4 linked regions of the Drosophila melanogaster genome follow. The protein of the gene in region 1 interacts with the protein of each later gene in a pairwise test. Each region holds a gene or a part of one and is shown in the gene's direction. Other genes may lie near its edges.

What was found.
Region 2: the proteins of GM130 (region 1) and ND-B22 interact in a two-hybrid assay, tested with the Drosophila melanogaster proteins (2 studies listed by BioGRID).
Region 3: the proteins of GM130 (region 1) and Rab30 interact in a two-hybrid assay, tested with the Drosophila melanogaster proteins (one study listed by BioGRID).
Region 4: the proteins of GM130 (region 1) and Rab1 interact in a two-hybrid assay, tested with the Drosophila melanogaster proteins (one study listed by BioGRID).

Annotation. Positions count from the first base shown.
Region 1 is NT_033778.4:22,124,026-22,129,460, reverse strand, and holds GM130 (golgi matrix protein 130 kD), read left to right. Parts: upstream 1-1,958; 5' UTR 1,959-2,098; coding exon 2,099-2,155; intron 2,156-2,256; coding exon 2,257-3,252; intron 3,253-3,307; coding exon 3,308-3,820; intron 3,821-3,879; coding exon 3,880-4,701; 3' UTR 4,702-4,894; downstream 4,895-5,435. Other genes in the region: NtR, read right to left, coding at 1-507, 580-767, 836-988, 1,048-1,179, 1,285-1,606; mei-S332 (meiotic from via salaria 332), read right to left, coding at 5,197-5,435.
Region 2 is NT_033779.5:13,369,603-13,372,946, reverse strand, and holds ND-B22 (NADH dehydrogenase (ubiquinone) B22 subunit), read left to right. Parts: upstream 1-1,920; 5' UTR 1,921-2,007; coding exon 2,008-2,105; intron 2,106-2,183; coding exon 2,184-2,323; intron 2,324-2,382; coding exon 2,383-2,579; 3' UTR 2,580-2,844; downstream 2,845-3,344. Other genes in the region: Bdp1 (B double prime 1), read left to right, coding at 1-252, 311-639, 694-1,443; CG31855 (uncharacterized protein), read right to left, coding at 3,217-3,344.
Region 3 is NT_033779.5:7,029,935-7,034,337, reverse strand, and holds Rab30 (Rab30), read left to right. Parts: upstream 1-1,731; 5' UTR 1,732-2,101; intron 2,102-2,160; 5' UTR 2,161-2,232; coding exon 2,233-2,904; 3' UTR 2,905-3,845; downstream 3,846-4,403. Other genes in the region: caper, read right to left, coding at 1,320-1,373.
Region 4 is NT_033777.3:21,265,524-21,270,726, reverse strand, and holds Rab1 (Rab1), read left to right. Parts: upstream 1-1,666; 5' UTR 1,667-1,933; coding exon 1,934-1,956; intron 1,957-2,932; exon of another isoform or gene 2,933-2,986; coding exon 2,987-3,107; exon of another isoform or gene 3,108-3,169; coding exon 3,170-3,217; exon of another isoform or gene 3,218-3,273; coding exon 3,274-3,501; exon of another isoform or gene 3,502-3,581; coding exon 3,582-3,779; 3' UTR 3,780-4,698; downstream 4,699-5,203. Other genes in the region: Idi (Isopentenyl-diphosphate delta isomerase), read right to left, coding at 1-140, 197-511; AP-2sigma (adaptor protein complex 2, sigma subunit), read left to right, coding at 774-776, 833-982, 1,043-1,318.

The DNA of each region.
Region 1 (5,435 bases):
CATGTAGAAGCTCCGATTCCTTTGCAGCGTGAACTCAATTGCCACATCGCCGGTCATTTTCTGCATCATTCCCTTGGGGTTGTATCGCCTTTGCGAATCGTTCTCCACCAGCACCACGGACATTTGCGTGAACGACCAGCCGGATGGCGTGTTCACGTGCTCATTGGGCGCAATCGGCTTGCGCTGATCATCGTAGATTAGCGCCACATTCTCCTGCCCCTCCTGGCCATTGAGACCCAGCTCGATGTCGCAAGTCACTCGCTCGCTTGGCCAGTTTCGGGCACTGTCCACACACCAACTGGCCAGCTGGAGGTTTTGAGCGTACAGGGTGATGCTTCCGTTGGCGTAGACCATCAGCTCATAGGATTGGAGGACCTGACCCATGGATTGCAGGGCGCCGTTGAGGACGTTCATATGCGGCTTCCATATACGAAGGTCAGGATGTTCGAAAGATTCCAGCGAGCCGAAGTCCTCGGGTTTCCAGACAAGACGACTATCCCTCCAGTGCTGCATGGATAGGCGAATGTATCTTTACTGTTTCACACTAAATATTTGCATTTCGAGCTTATCTTTCATTACCATCATCATGTGCATGCGGGTCTGAAGCAAGGAACTGGTTTGCTCGTAGGCGAGGGAGCGCGTTTGGAAGTGGAACGATATGGAGCTGAGATTAGCCGGCATGCTTGCATTTTCCGCCTGGATATTCAGATGGCTTAGCAGTTTTTCCGTCTTCGTTTCCTCCTTCACTATCGGTGCAATTTCCGACCCTGAAATGGGTCAGTTTTAGAACATACTTACAGATATAGACTTATAGCTTACTATATATCATCCTTACCATAACCATCGAAGCCACAGTCGTAAAACCACCGCGCCGTATTGGAACCAAAGGAGCTGAAACTCAGATAGTTGATGACCAGCGGTGCTTCATCGATGAACTGCAGCAGGGGCTCCTTCTTGAAGCCGGGTATGTAAACAAACAGCTCGCCATCTGGAAATATACTGTGCGTTGGAGGGGCAGGGAATACCCGATAAGATGGGGGAACTCACTCTGGTTTTGGACAATCTCAATTGGCGTCGGGTCGTACAGCGATACCAAGTTCGGCTCTTGATTCGTGGCCACCCGCCTCATTCCCATAGCATTCCGGATTGCGGAAAACGTATTTCCGCCGGCTCCTATCACTGCAAGCGGAATAAAGATATCAATTGAATATTTAGGTAGGGTTCCACTAGAAAGAGCTCATTGAAATGCTGGAATTAAAACTGAATATTATTGATTTCACCCACCGATCTCGTAAACGCGATCATTTGGGCGCGGGTGATTCGTCACCGAGAGCAGGATGTGCGCATCCATGGCGGTCAGGACGTAGAATTTCAAGTGCAGCCGCTCTCCGGCCTTCCTGTTGTTGTTGCTCAGCTCGCGCAGCATGTAGAACCTCCGGTAGCCATAGCCCGTATTCGGAACGGAGTAGGTTTCGCAGGAATCCAGCTGGGCGAAGCTCACGTTGAATCTCGTTGACAGTTGTCCCGATTCCGCTGGGTCAATCAATATCAGTAGCAGGCACAGGCAGCAGTATGTTGCCAAGGAGCCCTTGATAAGGTTGTACATCGTATCGACCTGGACTTCTACTCCTCACAGCGGCTTAACTACGACTGAATTAGGAAGCCGACTTAAGTGAAGTGATAAGAAACGATGAACTAATGGTTGTTTCGATAAATAATACTGTTTTTTTTTTTTAATTTGAAGAGTATTTCTCAAAACCTCCTCGCATGAACGTTTATGCAAGTAGAGTGAAATTTCTTAATTGTACATAATCTCTGTTTATTGAAAACGGATACGCATATATACGTGTTCGATTTTAAAAATGAAAAAAAAGCTAAAAATGCGCGCCAATATATAACTGTGCTTTCCCTGCCGCCTAGTGTACCCGTTCGCGCGGCATTTTGGCTCTAAACGCGTACGGTCATACTGAACTTCAGACCTGTTATCAACATTCAGAAATTTCCACTTTTGCCTAGCTTAATTTACATTTGTTGGCTCGCCTTCCGAACCGAGCTTACTCCAGGTGTGGCAAAGGTACCGCTGCTGACCCCGAAGGACATGCCCGATGACACGCAGGATGCCAAGGCGCAGAAGTTGGCCGCGGCAAGGAAAAAGGTGCGACAACCAGTGCCACACACAATTGTTTTGCTCTTGTGACGTGGACACATATTGGCCGACTAATATTGATTTTGTTTAACACGCTTCTGTGGACACAGCTGAAGGAGTACCAGCAGCGCGCCAGCAACAACAATGGGCAGCCGGGAGCAGAGGAGCCGGTGGCTGCCACCACGCAATCGCACTCGTCCACTGTGAGCATATCCAGCAATCTGTCGGAACGGTCAGACAGCGAGATAAATGTGAACGGTGGAGGAGCAGGTGGGACGCAGCCGCCGGAGCAGTCTGCCCTGCCCACAGCCGCTTCTTATTTTGCCCAAAACGAGTCGGAACACAATGGTGGACTGGCAGATGCCTCTAGCTTGCAGGCCATCCAGGTGATCATCGCTGAAAAGGCCCAGCTCAATGCGGAGCTGACCAAGGTTCGCCTGGCTTGCCGGGAGCGTGAGCTAGAGCTGGAGGAGCTTCGCATCCTCAAGGATCAGAATCAATTGCGTCTGGAGCAGCTACAACAGCACTGCCAGGATCAACAGTCGACCGGTGAGCAGCAGCGACAGCAGTACGCGCAACTCCAGGCACAACTGCTACAATCGCAGGCACAAATCAAGGACCAACAGTCGCATCTCAACGAACTAGAGGCCCAGCTAAAGCAGAGCAACCAGCATCAAGAGGAACTGCAGCAACAGCTTTCCCAAAAATCGAACGAACTCGAGATGGCGCAGCTGAAGCTGCGGCAGCTCTCAGACGAGTCTAGCGTCACCACAGACAACCGAGTGGAGTCGCTGGTGCAAACACAATACATGTACGAGCAACAGATACGCGACCTCCAAGCGATGGTGGGTCAACTAACGCAGGACAAGGAGCAGGCAGCTGGTCAGTATCAAAACTATGTGCAGCATCAGAGTGGCGAGATCGCCAAGCTCAACGAACGAAACACAGAACTCTCAGAGGTACTGAACTCACTGAGGGAGCGAGAACGCCAGCTTGTGGAGCACGTGGGCGCCCTGGAGCGGGATATACAAAAGAACATCAGCCTGCAGGCCCAATTTAAAGAGGCCAGTCAAGTGCAGCCATCCAAGGAAGAAACCAGCGAGCAGGTAAGTAAGCCAAAAAAATATGGAAAACCTGTTTAATCTCCTAGTTCAATTTCAGAAAGCCTTAAAAGATGAACTGGCTGTCTTGAAAGAGCAGATCGAAAACTTCGAGTTTGAGCGCCACGAATTCCAGCTGAAGATCAAGTCGCAGGACGATCAGCTGCAGTTAAAGAACTCGGCTTTAGACGAGTTGGAAAAGCAACTCGAACGCTTGCAAGCTGAGCAGCCCGATCAGTCCAAGCTGTTGGCCACCATGGAGTCAGACAAAGTGGCCGCATCGCGTGCCCTAACCCAGAATGTAGAGATGAAAAACCAGTTGGACGAACTGCAGCAGCGATTTGTTCAGTTGACAAACGACAAAGCCGAGCTGGTCATCCGCTTGGATTCAGAAGAGTTTGCCAACCGAGAAATCCGCCAGAACTACAACAGCATGGAGCAAAAGCTTCAAGCAAATGAGGAGCGCTTTAAGTTCAAGGATGAGGAAATGATTAGACTATCGCACGAGAACGTGGAACTACAACGTCAGCAGTTAATGTTGCAACAGCAGCTGGACCGTCTCAGGCATTATGAGGTGGGTTGGACTGGGATTAAAATTTAACTGACTTTATATCCCATTATCATTTCTTTCAGGCAAAAGCTTATCACGCCGGTGAGGAAACCGAAAAAGAGAATGGAGCAGATGCACCGGAAAACGAAGCAGAGGAAGCGAAGGAAGTTGGTCTTTTGCATAATCATTCGCACGATCACTCTCATCAGCATTCCGACGGTCATTGTCATGATAATGACCACGATCATTCCCATGAACATAACCATCATAATGCTGGTGATCATGGTCATCCACATGATCATCCGCACGATCACACACATGATCATTCACATAGCCATCCACACGATCATCAGCATGATCATCCACATGATCACGGCCAGAACCACGCCCACAGACAAGCAGCTGAAACGCTGCCCACCGCCGAGGCCGTGGAACGCTTGCAATCGCGTTTCACCACACTGATCAGCCAGGTCGCCGACTTGACGGAGGAGAAGCACAGCCTGGAGCATCTGGTGCTCCAGCTGCAGAGCGAAACCGAAACGATTGGCGAGTACATTGCCCTCTATCAAACGCAGAGGCGCATGCTAAAGCAGCGTGAGTACGAGAAGGCCGCCCAAATGCGTCTCTTGCAAGCGGAGCGAGAGCAGCTGCGCGAGAAGATTGAGGCACTAAACAAGCTGGTGGTCAGTTTGGGCGTGGAGCTACCCGCAGATGCCGCCCAGGCAAAGCAACCAGAAGCGGCCGCAGGTAGCGAACACACTCCTGGCGAAGGTGAAAACTCGCAACAGATCATCAACAAGATACAGGACATTATCAGCGAGATCAAGGAGAACACGGAGCAGCCAAGCCACAACCATGCAGGAGACCATCTCAACTGTTGTATGGGCAAGTTCGAGGTAGTCTAAAAGAAGTGCAATTATCGCCTACCTACGTATAATCATTACCCTTTTGCTACTGTATTTAATTGTAATTGTAATTGTACTTTGTTCTTCAGAGTCTTTTGTAAATGTTTCCAACAACTTTGTGCGAATAAACGTAGTTTGCATCTAAGAGGAATCTATAAAATGAGTTCCCCTAAAAGCGTATTAACAAATAATTAATTGAAACGTTGTTTTATTCACAAATGAACATGTAAAAATTAGACGTACTTTTAAATTCCTATTGGCATCTTTGGGTGATGATGATGATGGAGTGTCTTCCTTCCGATAGCGCTGGATGAACTGAATATGCCCTCTATTGCAGGCAAAAAGTAATCCGATGTCAGCTTTTAGTCTATAAATTAAACTTATCAGGGCCTGACGATTTAAAAATATTATTCATATTAAAAATGGTAAAAAGTGGTATTGAAAACCAATGAAATTACAGAAACAACATTAAAGCCTATTAAAAAATTCGTCTATCTACTTTTTGGCCTTGGCCTTGCCTTTCGAGCCATTGCGCAACTTGTTCTTCAGACTTGGCTCCACCAAACTGGTGGGCCTGCAGCTTCTACTCGGCCTTGCGCTGTTGTTGCAGAAAGAACTAGACATATCCGTATTTTCTGATTTCTTATTAGCCGCAGTTCGGCTTCTAGTTCTTATAGATGGCATTTCCTCGACGAGAAAGGATTTCGGAGTGCTGGTGCTTCCGGCCATTTTGC
Region 2 (3,344 bases), on another chromosome or scaffold:
CCATGGTGCCCAAACAGTCGGTGACGACCATCAAGGATGAGTCTGGTGGCGATGATTCCAAGCCCGCAGTCAGTCAACTATTGGAACCCAAGGGAGAGTCCACATCCGCTATGTTAGTGCCTCAGCTAAAGCTTGATGCCAATGGCGAGATGATCATTGATGAGAAAACATTGGAGATCGAAACCACGGCCGAGGTGGAGGCCCGCAAGGTGCTAGCCAACTCATCGTTAATCCTAATGGACGAGACTACGGGTGCGCCGCAGAGTTAATACATAAAAGTTGAATACTTAACGAATTTTATACTTTGCAGGAGATAATGGATTCTATAAACGCCACAAGCGCACGCCATACTGGACCTCCGATGAGACCGTCCGCTTCTACCGCAGCCTGCAGATCATTGGGACGGACTTCTCGCTGATGTGCCAAATGTTTCCAACACGTTCACGTCGGGATCTAAAGCTGAAGTACAAAAAGGAAGAGCGAACCAATGGGCAGCTCATAAACAAAGCACTCCTCTATCCTAAGGCCTTCAACATTCAGGAGCTCAAGGATCAACTGGAAGAGGAGGACCGCGAAAGGGAAGAAAATGATCGCAAGTGGAGGGAAATCGCACGAGCTCTTCCGGGAAACCCTAAGAAGGTAAATAATTTGTAGCTGACTGTAATCACCATTACATTTTTTAATTATATTTAGCGTTCCCGAGTACAGCAGCAAAGCAAGGCCTCAAGGGCACTAAACGATGGTGATGTTGTCTACGAAAACGAGCACGTAACGAGTACAAAGCTCGGCAAGCACGCCTGGGCCAAAAGGCGAAAGGAGTTGGAGACCGATGAGAACGACGGAAGTGCGCCGGCCAAACGTAAGCCAAAGGCTAAGCGACGATCTCCCAAGGTTTCAGTTCCAGCGGCAACGGAAAGCCTGTCTGATGTGGCGGCCATTAAGCAGGAAAAAACGATCAAAACCGAACAAACGAGTAGTCATTTGCCAACGGGGGGAGAACTGCAGGCTGAGCTCAATGGCCTCCTCATGGATGATCCGGTGGAATATGACGTAGATGTAAACAAGCCACGTGATAAAACTATTATCAATATGGATGATGGTACCCTAAGCTATGTCAGCGACGTCGAACCCGCCCCAGAGACGCCCAATCGAAAGGCAGAGACATATTTAATAAACTTCATTGAAGACCAAGATCATGAACTTATAACGCCGGATGACCCCATTCCGCCGTCCACTACCGAACCGGATATCGAACAAATTCTCGCCGAGCTTGCGGAAGGATCTCTGGCTCTCGTCTCGTCCTTGGATCCAGAGCACGAGGATCGTGTGCTCAACGAAATCTACATGCTGGACAAAAAAACGGGCGAGTTGTGCGAAACGCCTCTGAAAATACCAGAGCATATTGTTCAATGCATAATGAATGTTATGCAGCCAGAGGACTAACGACATTTTATATTTATATCTTAAGAGTATTTGTTAACAGTTATAATTTATTAAAGCATTTCGCTAGATGTATTTACAAAATTACTTTCTTGTTCCTCGCAAATTCAAAGGGAATTGCAAAAAATGCAAAAATGGGACTGACTTTCTTGGTTTCTTTAACTATTCCTAAAAAAAATTGTAATTAATATACAATTATAACAGATTTGTCAAAATAGTCTTATTTTATAAATAAAATAGGGTAGCAAGAAGGCTTTTAAGCATTAAAAGTGTTTGGTTATAGGTATCTACTCTAGACAGGATCATTTCGATTTCTTGCAATAACAAAAGCTTGTATAAAATGCAAAGATAGCCATTGCTTTTGTATAGAAAATTTAAATCAAATATATAAATATTTTTTGAATTTCCATTCATTTCAGAGTTGCCGTTCTCTAAAATTATTTTTCGCTTCGCAACACATATTTTCAGGCGCAGGGCTTTAGAGCACTGGACTTTTGACAGCTGTTGTTGTTGTTGCCTCGGCTGCGGTAGCAAATTAATACAATTTAACCAATATAGTAAAAAACGATGGCCCAAGTTCCCTTGGCAATCGTCTCGCACAAGCGCCAGGTGTGCAGCCTGTACAAGCGAGCACTGCGCAACTTAGAGTCGTGGTACGACCGACGGTGAGTGCACTCGGCGCAGAATTCCCAAATATTATATAATGAGCAAGTGCATCTTGGTTGTTTCTTAATGCCCATCAGCAATGTCTACCGCTACCGCGCTGTGCAGCTGCGTGCTCGCTTCGACGAAAACCGCTCCAAAGATCTGGGCGAGGGCATCCGCCTCCTAGCCTGTGGACAAAGGGAGCTTTTCGAGACAAGGCATTTCCAGCCCCGAAACTGTAAACAAATTGAACGTATGGTCATATGTCTGTGTATCTAACGTGTGTTATCGTTGTAGTTGCCAACAGTGCCGGTGGCTGTGCTTTCGAACGAGAGGTGATTCCGCCCGACTGGGTCCTGGACTACTGGCATCCCCTGGAGAAGGCCCAGTACCCCGAGTACTTTGCCAAGCGGGAGCAGCGCAAGAAGGAGTTTGTGACCTGGTGGGAGAAGCAGTACGGCAAGCCCGACCCCAAGGACCTGGGACACCACTAATCTTAGAGTACCGTAATCAAATCACATCCAATCTTTGTCTTTAAAAGTAAATCTATTGGAACTCACATTATGTGCTATTATAAATGTGTTGTACTGGAATTCAGTCGATCTTCCTTCTGCCAAAATAATTCATTGCCAATTTACAATAATAGTGTATACAATTGGTTATGCAGATCAATTCCCAGATTATAAACGCATTACATTTTAGGTTACAAACTTTGCGAGAAGTACATGTATATTTTCCTAAGGTAAGTCCAAAGAATGGAAAAAAAAATACCGTGATTCATGAACTAGCAGTAACAAAGCTTACAAAATTTTGTACTCGACATTTTATACGAATGATGGTATTTTCTTGCAAAAGGAGGTATGCATATGTTGGTCACAAAAACATTATTTAGCTGTGTTAATTTGGGTACAACTGAAATCTAAAGAAATACTGGGGCTTTCGACCAATGATCAGCGTGATACAAAACTTTGAAAGGACCGTTCGACTGCAACTCCTTTGTACTTAGTATATTTTATTTAATATATATGTATATGAGTGTAAATGAATGGTGGCGGCTGCGTGTTCGCTCGGGATAGTAGTGCTGCGTGGGGATGTCCATCGGGTGCTTGGCTTAAGGTCCTGCCGCCCAGCTCAGTTCAGCTCGTTGGGGTCCAAGCGCGGGCGCTTTTTGCTGTTGGTGCTGTTGCCGTTGGGCGTGGAGCTGTTGCCGTTGCCATTTCCCGAATCGCCGCCGTGCTCCCTCTTCCGCTGAAGCGTCT
Region 3 (4,403 bases), on another chromosome or scaffold:
TTTTATTGTTTTGTAATTTTGTAATTGGTTTTTTTTCGCAGCTTCTGGCACATTCAAAACTTACCAAATGGTCTCCAGCTTTTTGTGTTTAGAATGACCAAAACAATCTCTAGCAACAATATTGAGCTTATTCGATTCTCTGCAAAGACATTTCACCCTTAAGAATTATTCTAGCATTTTTGTTTGGTTTTTTTTTTTTTTTTTTTTTTTGTATTTTTTAATGGTGATTGTGTGTGGGTAGTTGTCGGTAGTTCTTAGTGAGACAGCAGATAGGAAGAAATAGGAGCGTTGAACTCATGAGTTGTTGGTTTGGGGCGAAAGAATTCAATTCAATTAATTTCCAACTTTAGCTGGATGTCATAGACTACTACATTGACTAAAACCTTGGCGAGCTGTCGGACAATAATGCTGATTTTGGTTTTGGGTTAATTAATGATAATTTTATTAGATTTATTCCACAACACACCGAAAATTGCATTTGTAAATGCTACGGAAAAATGTGGTTTGCTAACCTACAAATTATTTTATAATATATTGAGATTTTTCAAGTATGATTTCATATGGCTGAGTTTTAACCTATTAATAAATATTATTACAGATGGTTTGCCCAGATAAGATAAGAGGAATACCAATTGCTACAAAATCCGTTTCAGTCAATAATACAGATTAAAGTCCAAGTTTAGTAAGAGATATAAAATATCACTAAAATACGTTGTTTTTTATAGTTTACAGAATCATGACTGTCTTGTTAGTAATTCAATCCTTTAAGTTTCCCTGATACTTGTTAAACGTTTTCAGTTGCTATTGCAGCCCTGCCAAATATTTTGCACCCCACTGTACACCCACTGCAGTACACGACTGTATCAAATGCCGCGTAGGAAAATAAACAACACAAACCCACACACAGACAGATTTTCCGTTGGCGAAACACTTTTCTGTATGAACGCAGTCTAGTGTGAAAAAAAAATATTACGAAAATCAGCACGCAGATTGGCGTTCCGGCTGCCGATTTTTTATTAAACAGCAAAATTAGGCTAAAAATCGATTTAAGACCACTTAGTATGCATCGACTGCACATGTGTGTGTGTGTGTGTGTGTGCCCGAGACGAAGACGACTTACATACAAACACAAAATGCACGTACGCCTGTGGGTGTCTATGTGGGAAAAGAAGTATACAAACATACATATGAAGTAACTGTTTTTCTATTTTTTTTCATTTTGTTTTTGCACAGCAAAATAATTGCCTTGGGTGGGCACAAAAGCCAGTGGGACTTAATTTAAACGATAGTTGGCTGTTATCCGGCCTTTGGGAACTTACGTTTTTCATGTACGGCGCCTCGAGCATCGCCTCCACATCAAAGTCCTCGGCCATATTCGAAAATTACTTCGCTGCAATTCGGGGTGCTCCGTGAAAAAAGTCCCCTGCTCGGTGTCTGGCACGTTTGGAGAAATCAAAATGTGGTGGGGACGCACAGCGGAATTCGTAGGACGACTTACGAACTTCTCTTTTGGCTTTTGCGATTTTTTAATTAGAATTTTTGCCAATTTTCAACCAGATTTTCTTCTCTAGCGTGGCTGCTTGTTTTCGGCTTCAGGGTTGTCACAGAACTTATCGATGATGAACAATCGATAACTAGTGACCGTACTTCAAAAAGTTTTTAAGTGCTTTGCAAAACGTCGATCTATCGATACCGAGAAAAACATCGTTAAGTATTGCTATGGGAATTGATGTCACATCTCTAATCAAATACCATCACGTCGAAATACAGTAAAATTCTGTTGGTAAACATAAGCAAAATTAAGGCTGGCAATTAATGCGGCAGCATGCAACCAGTTGATTACAAATTTGCAAGCATAGTCAACCTGGCCGAAAGCCTGCTGAATAGATTTGGGGCCGATTCGCATAGATAAGCGAGTAACAAGCATCTACAGCTGCTGTTGAGTCATCATCTTTTAGCCAAATAAGCCAAAAAACAAGGCGAACAGCCGTTGGCCAGCTAGTGATAGAGCCCCAGGTGAGCCACAGGTGAGAGGCGTTGTCTTCGCTGGGGATGGCGTAAGCTGATCCAACGAACCACCACCAGCCAGCAAAGTATAATCGTTACGCGTCGCTGACTAGGTGTGTCTAAGCTCCGACTAACTTTCGTCTACTTTCGCAGAGCACACACACACTTGCCCACACCCAGCGACTCAAAAACCCCAAAACCAACCCATTTTTGGCAACATCCCCAATGGAGGACTACAAGTTCCTGTTCAAAATCGTCCTGGTGGGCAATGCTGGTGTTGGAAAAACATGCCTAGTGCGCCGCTTTACTCAGGGTCTATTTCCACCTGGCCAGGGTGCCACCATTGGTGTGGATTTCATGATTAAGACCGTGGAGGTGGAGGGCGAGAAGATCAAGCTACAAATCTGGGACACCGCCGGCCAGGAGCGGTTCCGATCCATCACGCAAAGCTACTATCGATCGGCTCACGCCTTGATCCTGGTGTACGACATCAGCTGCCAGCCCACATTTGACTGCCTGCCGGACTGGCTGCGCGAGATCCAGGAGTATGCCAACTCCAAGGTACTCAAAATCCTGGTGGGTAACAAGACGGACAGGGATGATCGAGAGATACCCACCCAGATTGGCGAAGAGTTCGCCAAGCAGCATGACATGTACTTCTTGGAGACATCCGCCAAGGAGGCAGAGAATGTAGAGCGTCTGTTCTACGAGATTGCCGCCGAATTGATTGGTCAGGCAAGGAGCAAGGATGGCAGTAGTTCGGCCGCAGCGGCAGCCGCCCAGCGTCAGTCGGAGGGCAGCTCCATCGGACTGGGGAGCTTCAGTGCCAAGGCAGCGCAGAGCAATTGCTGTGGCGGACTCGCCAGCGGCGGCTCCAACTCTAGTCAAGGCGGCTGAGCAGCTGCAAACTGAACTGGAAGCTGAGCAGCTAATCTGTAACTTGTTAAGGACTAATCGTGATATTCCATTTATCTTTTATTACCACAATGCTCCCACATTCTAACACATACATACATATGTTAAATTTTGTTTTTATAAGCATGATTATGACGTGATCGTTTGCCTTTGTCTTTGTAACGATTCCTATTAGATTGTTAAAACACATCGGCTTCAAATACCTTTAAATGTAAAGGTATTTAGAGCAATTCTCTTCGCTTTCACTAAACTACGATAACAACAAACATTTAAAGTACAATGTGCAAACGGATCTGGAAACTGTGCAGCTAATCTGTTATCTGTTATCGTGATATTCTGTTCATGCTTAAGGGTTTATTATTTTAATTACAAGACTAAAAAAATTGATTATTTCTGTATCCCCTTTGGTTTACAGAAAGAAATTGATTGTAAAAACTAATTTACTATTTATCACGATTAAGATCCTATGGGAAACTAGCTGTCAATGACTAAGGATGCTAAATATTTGTGTTACAAGAACTCCATTGGAGGTGTTTAAGACCGCCTGATTTTCTTGATTTGTATTATATAGACGTATGTATTGATCTGATTATGGATCGTTTACCAAGTGAGCATCACAGCCAATGCTACGAAGAATTTATGATATCAAAAATGCTAGACTCACCATTTAGTTTATTTCAATTAATTCCCAAGGAGTATTGCATGTTTTATACATTACATTTTTTGTATACATACACAATTTATGCATATTTATTTGCAATTATTTTTACATATTTTTACGATTAATGTGCAATCTTTGGTAATGCAATTTTTAAATGATATTCGTAATAGTGTTTAAGGTGATTTTATGACATTCCAAAAATTAAGAATTAGAAACTATGAATAGACCAGAAAGCTGAATAAAAAATAAACTAAATACAAGTAAAATGGAAAAGAGTGTTTAATTAATTTACAGCTGATTAATTTACAGCTGAGTAAAATATAAAATATGTTGATTAAGTATATCAACTTTTTACGAATGCGGAAAAAGTTGTTGATTAAAAAAGCTGCAATATATATCTTGTTATTATATAAATATCACAATAATTGGAATGTAAACTTTTAGCCGATAAATAATTACAAATGTTTTTAAAACAGTATTTTGTACAATAATGCATATAAAAAAAAAAAATCCCATCGATTTCAGGATCTAACTAACCACCTTAATAATTTCGTGCAAAAATCGTTCCACTCCGATTCTGAGTTCAAATAGCTCTTCCACCTTAAGTTATAGGTACTGCAAATATTATTAAGTGCTTTAGCCCACAGAATGTTTTTCTTCATTACTTTAAGAGTTAAAAATCGGCCGATCGAATTTTCATTGTGGGAAAATAAAGTTTTTTAATATACTGCAAATGCATCTCTTATCAGATTATTAGGGTTGGGACACTCGAAACAAGTGGTTTTTTTTTTTTAAATAAAACGCTTGCAGAGCTTTGAAT
Region 4 (5,203 bases), on another chromosome or scaffold:
GTGGGAATGCCCAGTTCGTAGTTGAGACGTCGTTGAGCGGCCACACGGATGCCCTGTGCGTTGCGCTCCTGACGTTCCTGTTCGATTTCGTAAAGCGGATGGCTGCAGCACGCGTTGGTGTAGGTGTTTGGGAAGGTTATCTAAGGATACAGAGGATTATGGACCTTGTAATAAGGGGATTACCCTTTAATTTCACCTTGTGAGACGATCGCTTCTGCACTAGCATCTCTCCCTGAGAATTGAAGAGAAAAACACTGAAGGCGCGATGGAGCTTAACATCATTCGTCTCTGGATGCACACGGTGGCAGTCTGCCTTAGAGGCGGCCCCAATGGCTTGGTCGTTGGCGTCAACCAGGATGCACTGTTCCTTTAGAGCGTGAGCCTGCAGAGGATCGTGTACGGCGAACTCCGTGGGCACCTGGCGCTGATGTTTCTGGCCCACCGCTGTCGTTGAGCAACCGCGCAGCCAGGATACGCGGGGCAACAGGAGATTCAAGCGAGAGGCCAACATTTTTGGTAAATGACTAGTTTGGAGTGGTGGCCAAAACAAATATGAAAGTGAAACTTCGTAATACAGCGCGCGGGTCTGCCAACTCGTTTGCTTTCTGCGCGAACTGTTTGCAACACTGACGAGGTAACAGCTGTTCCGGAACAGTAGTGGTAGCCCTGGTCCCAGTGATACACAATTTGCTCATAATCAGTTTTTCGCCCCCATTCTCGAAACAAAAAAAGTTGTAAATAAGCAGGAAACGGTTTAACCAATTTCCCGAAAAATGGTAAGCAACTAGCCAGCTATAAGCTTAGACCCCTATTTGACCTTCCATTCGCCCAGATACGATTCATACTTATACAAAACCGAGCTGGAAAAACTCGCCTGGCCAAGTGGTATATGAACTTCGATGACGACGAGAAGCAGAAACTGATTGAGGAGGTGCATGCCGTGGTCACAGTGCGCGATGCCAAGCACACCAACTTTGTGGAGGTGGGATCGAGTCCATATGTTCTTTTGAATCACCCTTTTATCACACTTTTGCCTTTGTAGTTCCGCAACTTCAAGATCGTCTACCGACGCTATGCGGGTCTGTACTTCTGCATCTGCGTGGACGTAAACGACAACAACCTGTGCTATCTGGAGGCCATTCACAACTTCGTGGAGGTGCTCAACGAATACTTCCATAATGTGTGCGAGCTGGATCTGGTCTTCAACTTCTACAAGGTGTACAGTGTGGTGGACGAGATGTTCCTGGCGGGCGAGATCCGGGAGACCTCGCAGACGAAGGTGCTCAAGCAGCTGCTCACGCTAAATTCGCTGGAGTAGCGGCCCAATTCATACATATGTATATCGGATCTGCCAGATGCATTCCCCCAGGCGCTACACCCGCCTATCGAATCTTCTTTCATATACTATTACGCGTATTATTATTATTATCTTTAATGTGTTCTCTATGCAAACACTCAAATGTTAAAGGCCGTGTTTAGAAACAAATGATGTACCATAAGAGATTGTATGCAAAAGTTAAGTATTTTTGTTTTTATATGGGGTGTGTTAGGGGTCATTTGGCGATAATCCATATATTTTCTTCTCTGGTTCCGCCCACTCACCTCCGTAGACAAGATAATGTGTAGCCCTGGTTGGAAGAGGGCCCCGCGCATTTTCCAACACTGCCGCTAATGCCACTTCGTCATTTTTTCAGTCGCCATTGTTCTCGTTCTCGGCCGTCGAATTTGTGGAAATAAACGTATTTCCCATTTAAATTCGCTGCAATAATTACAATAGCGAACTGCAAAACACAACACAAGCCGAGTGCGTGTCGATTTCCAGTATTTCGGAACGCGCAAATCAAATAAAAACACTCTGAACAGCAGCCAGTCCAGGGCCAGAAATCGAATATTTGTTCGTGGCAAATATATAATCTTGTGAAAAAGCCAGAAAATGTCATCTGTGAATCCGGAATAGTAAGTCGTCACACGTAATTATGCGCAGTTATCTGGAGTTAAAACAGTGACTGGGCTTCCACTTCCTTTTCTGGCCTTCGAAAATAGTTTCTTTTATTTTTTCTGCGACGTCATTTCTGCTACGTTTCATTCCCATTCATTATCGAGCAGCCCCACTCCACTCCCTTTTGCCCTCGTTGGCAACTCCAAAAAAACAGACCATTTGCTAAAAACAAAATACACACTCGGACCTAACAACCGACCCAATCGAGAAACCATAACCAAAACTGTGTGTTTCAGCTGGATTTCAATGTAGTGCCCACGGGCGAGGCGATGAAAAGCGCGTTCGAAACTCTCATCGGAATCTGCATATGTATAAAGTCCACACATATATACAGCGAGATCCCAGTTGACGGGCCAAATCGCTAGTCGGGCGGATGAGTCACCTGCGTGGAGAGCCTTTCCCACCCCCAGCGCAGTGCTACGTAATCAAAGGCCATTCCAGTGCTACTTAATTGCCGCTCTCACTCAAGGCAATTAAATCTGAACCGATCTTGGTTCGCACTCTCCAGAAAGCCTCCTTCAATAGCCAGCATACATGTGTGCAGAGGATTGGAACACTATCGCATATCATTCAGCAATTGGGGGTTGATGTTGGACATAGCATGATAAGATAAAGCCTAAACCAAACCGGTTTTATGTATATATTAGTATCTGCCCGACTAAACTATGCCCGCAAAACACCTCTCTAAATGTTTTGCTTGAATCAATGATTTCTAACTGATTGTCATCCAACTTATTTCCCTTTAAATGTATACTAAACCTTTTACACTCTGATTTTAAACATTTCGTCTTGTAATATCACTATCGCAAATATGCATCATCAGTTTTATTTAGATTTCTCTGAAGTTTTATATGTTTCAGCATAGGGTCTGAACTATTCCCACATCGCAGCACAAATTTATATCATTAACTATTAAATTAACTATAATTTATTAACTATATAACTATTTTATAACATTAACTATATTAACTATCTCCAAATCCACAGCGATTATCTCTTTAAGTTGCTGCTTATTGGAGACTCGGGCGTTGGAAAGTCCTGTCTTCTGTTGCGATTTGCCGATGACACATATACAGAAAGTTATATCAGCACAATCGGAGTGGATTTCGTAAGCCAACCGGAAATTTGTGAAAATTCTTTATGTCTGACTCATAAACCTTTATCTTGCAGAAAATCAGGACTATAGAACTCGACGGAAAGACCATTAAACTGCAAATCGTAAGCATAAAAACGCCAGAGGCAATCTAGTCCAGAGCTAATTAGTCTGTTTACAGTGGGATACTGCTGGCCAGGAGCGCTTCCGCACCATCACGTCTTCATATTATAGGGGCGCCCATGGCATCATTGTCGTATACGATTGCACGGACCAGGAGTCTTTCAACAATGTGAAGCAGTGGCTGGAGGAGATCGAGCGGTATGCCTGTGAGAATGTCAACAAGTTGCTGGTTGGCAACAAGAGCGACTTGACCACCAAGAAAGTAGTCGACCACACCACAGCTGCGGTGCGTATATTGCTGGTTTAGTCCTGGGAATCATAGATGCACGTATATACTAATCTGGGTCTTTGTTTCCAAAATTCCAGGAGTACGCCGCCCAGTTAGGCATTCCATTCCTTGAAACTTCGGCCAAGAGCGCCACCAACGTTGAGCAGGCCTTCATGACGATGGCGGCGGAGATCAAGAATCGCGTCGGGCCGCCGTCCAGCGCCACTGACAACGCTAGCAAAGTGAAAATCGATCAAGGACGTCCAGTGGAAAACACCAAATCCGGTTGCTGCTGAATAACTCTGATTGTGAATCATTATTTTATTATACAATTAAACAAAATTTAAATATAATAAATTAAAACGGAAACCACACAATAATAATAAAACAAGCGAAACCGATGGCGGATCCACGAAATCGTAATTATAATAACTAATTCTGTAATAACAATAATGGTGAGGAATGACGAGTAGTGCGTTTGTATGATCCTAACCGTGATCCAATTCGATAAACAATTTAAGCAAATATGTATTAGGTACGTAGCCAACCAGCTCCAGATCCAGATCCCGATCCAGACTTCAGACATCCCCAACTAAACTCGAGCAACAAGGACATCGATCCTAATACTAACCGTCACTCTGATTTCCGCAGTTCTGTTCATAAGTAGTGCAAAGCAAGCAAATTCGGTGTAGCAATTAACCTAATATTACTTTAACCTACAATAAGAAGTTACCTATCACAGCAGCGCGAAACCATACCGAAACTAATATGTACTATTAACTACACATTAATTGAGCGCAGGCGACGGCAGGAGCAATTGTACTTGTCCTGTGTCAGCTACTACTTACCACTATGTATACATATGTATGTGTTTAAATTACAAATACAATTTTCTAAACATATTATCTCTAGCGAACGTGATCGTCACTTGAAATTTTATGTAAATCGAACCCAAAACCGAACGAACATTTTTAGATTTAACGTCGAGCGATTGTGTGTTTGAATTATCGTGTGACACAAGGGATTTGTTTAGGCACATAATTAGTGTAATAATGACGACATAGCGATGAAGTTTAATAAAAATTATTGCGTGTGCGTATTTAAATTGCAAGGTTTGGGATCAAGGACACACTTTAGTTTCGGTTTTTACTGTCGCCCGAATTTGAATCTTAATTTGACCTGAGTCTAATAAAATCGATCTGTACCGATGCCTACAAACGACTTGTTTTATTTCTTGACTTTGGAAAGATTGCAAAACTTAAGTGAAGGCCGGAACTGATCCGCACGCACCCAAATACTTGGCAGAAACTTTAAGGGCGAGGCGATTTGTGTAGAATCTTCCTGTTTTTGGAGCAAGTTTTTGGCTGATTTAAAACTTGGATCATGCCAATGTATTTAGAATATATTCAAAGCACTCTATACGAGTGCTTAGATGTTGAAGAATCAGATGTATAAATATATTTCTATTTAAAAATGTTTTATATCTGCATTATTTCACAAATCAGATTAGTTAGTGCACTGCCGTTAAGTTAACTGCACATAGGTAATCAATTTTTGTAAACCTGATACGTTGGCAAATCTTCTAGGATACTTACGAAAAATGTATGTATCCACTTATTTTATAAATTATATACATATATTCGGAAAGATATTTTTCTTTTTAGGACATACTCTACCTTTATGTATTGCATTGTATACATACAGGACTTATTATTTTTTA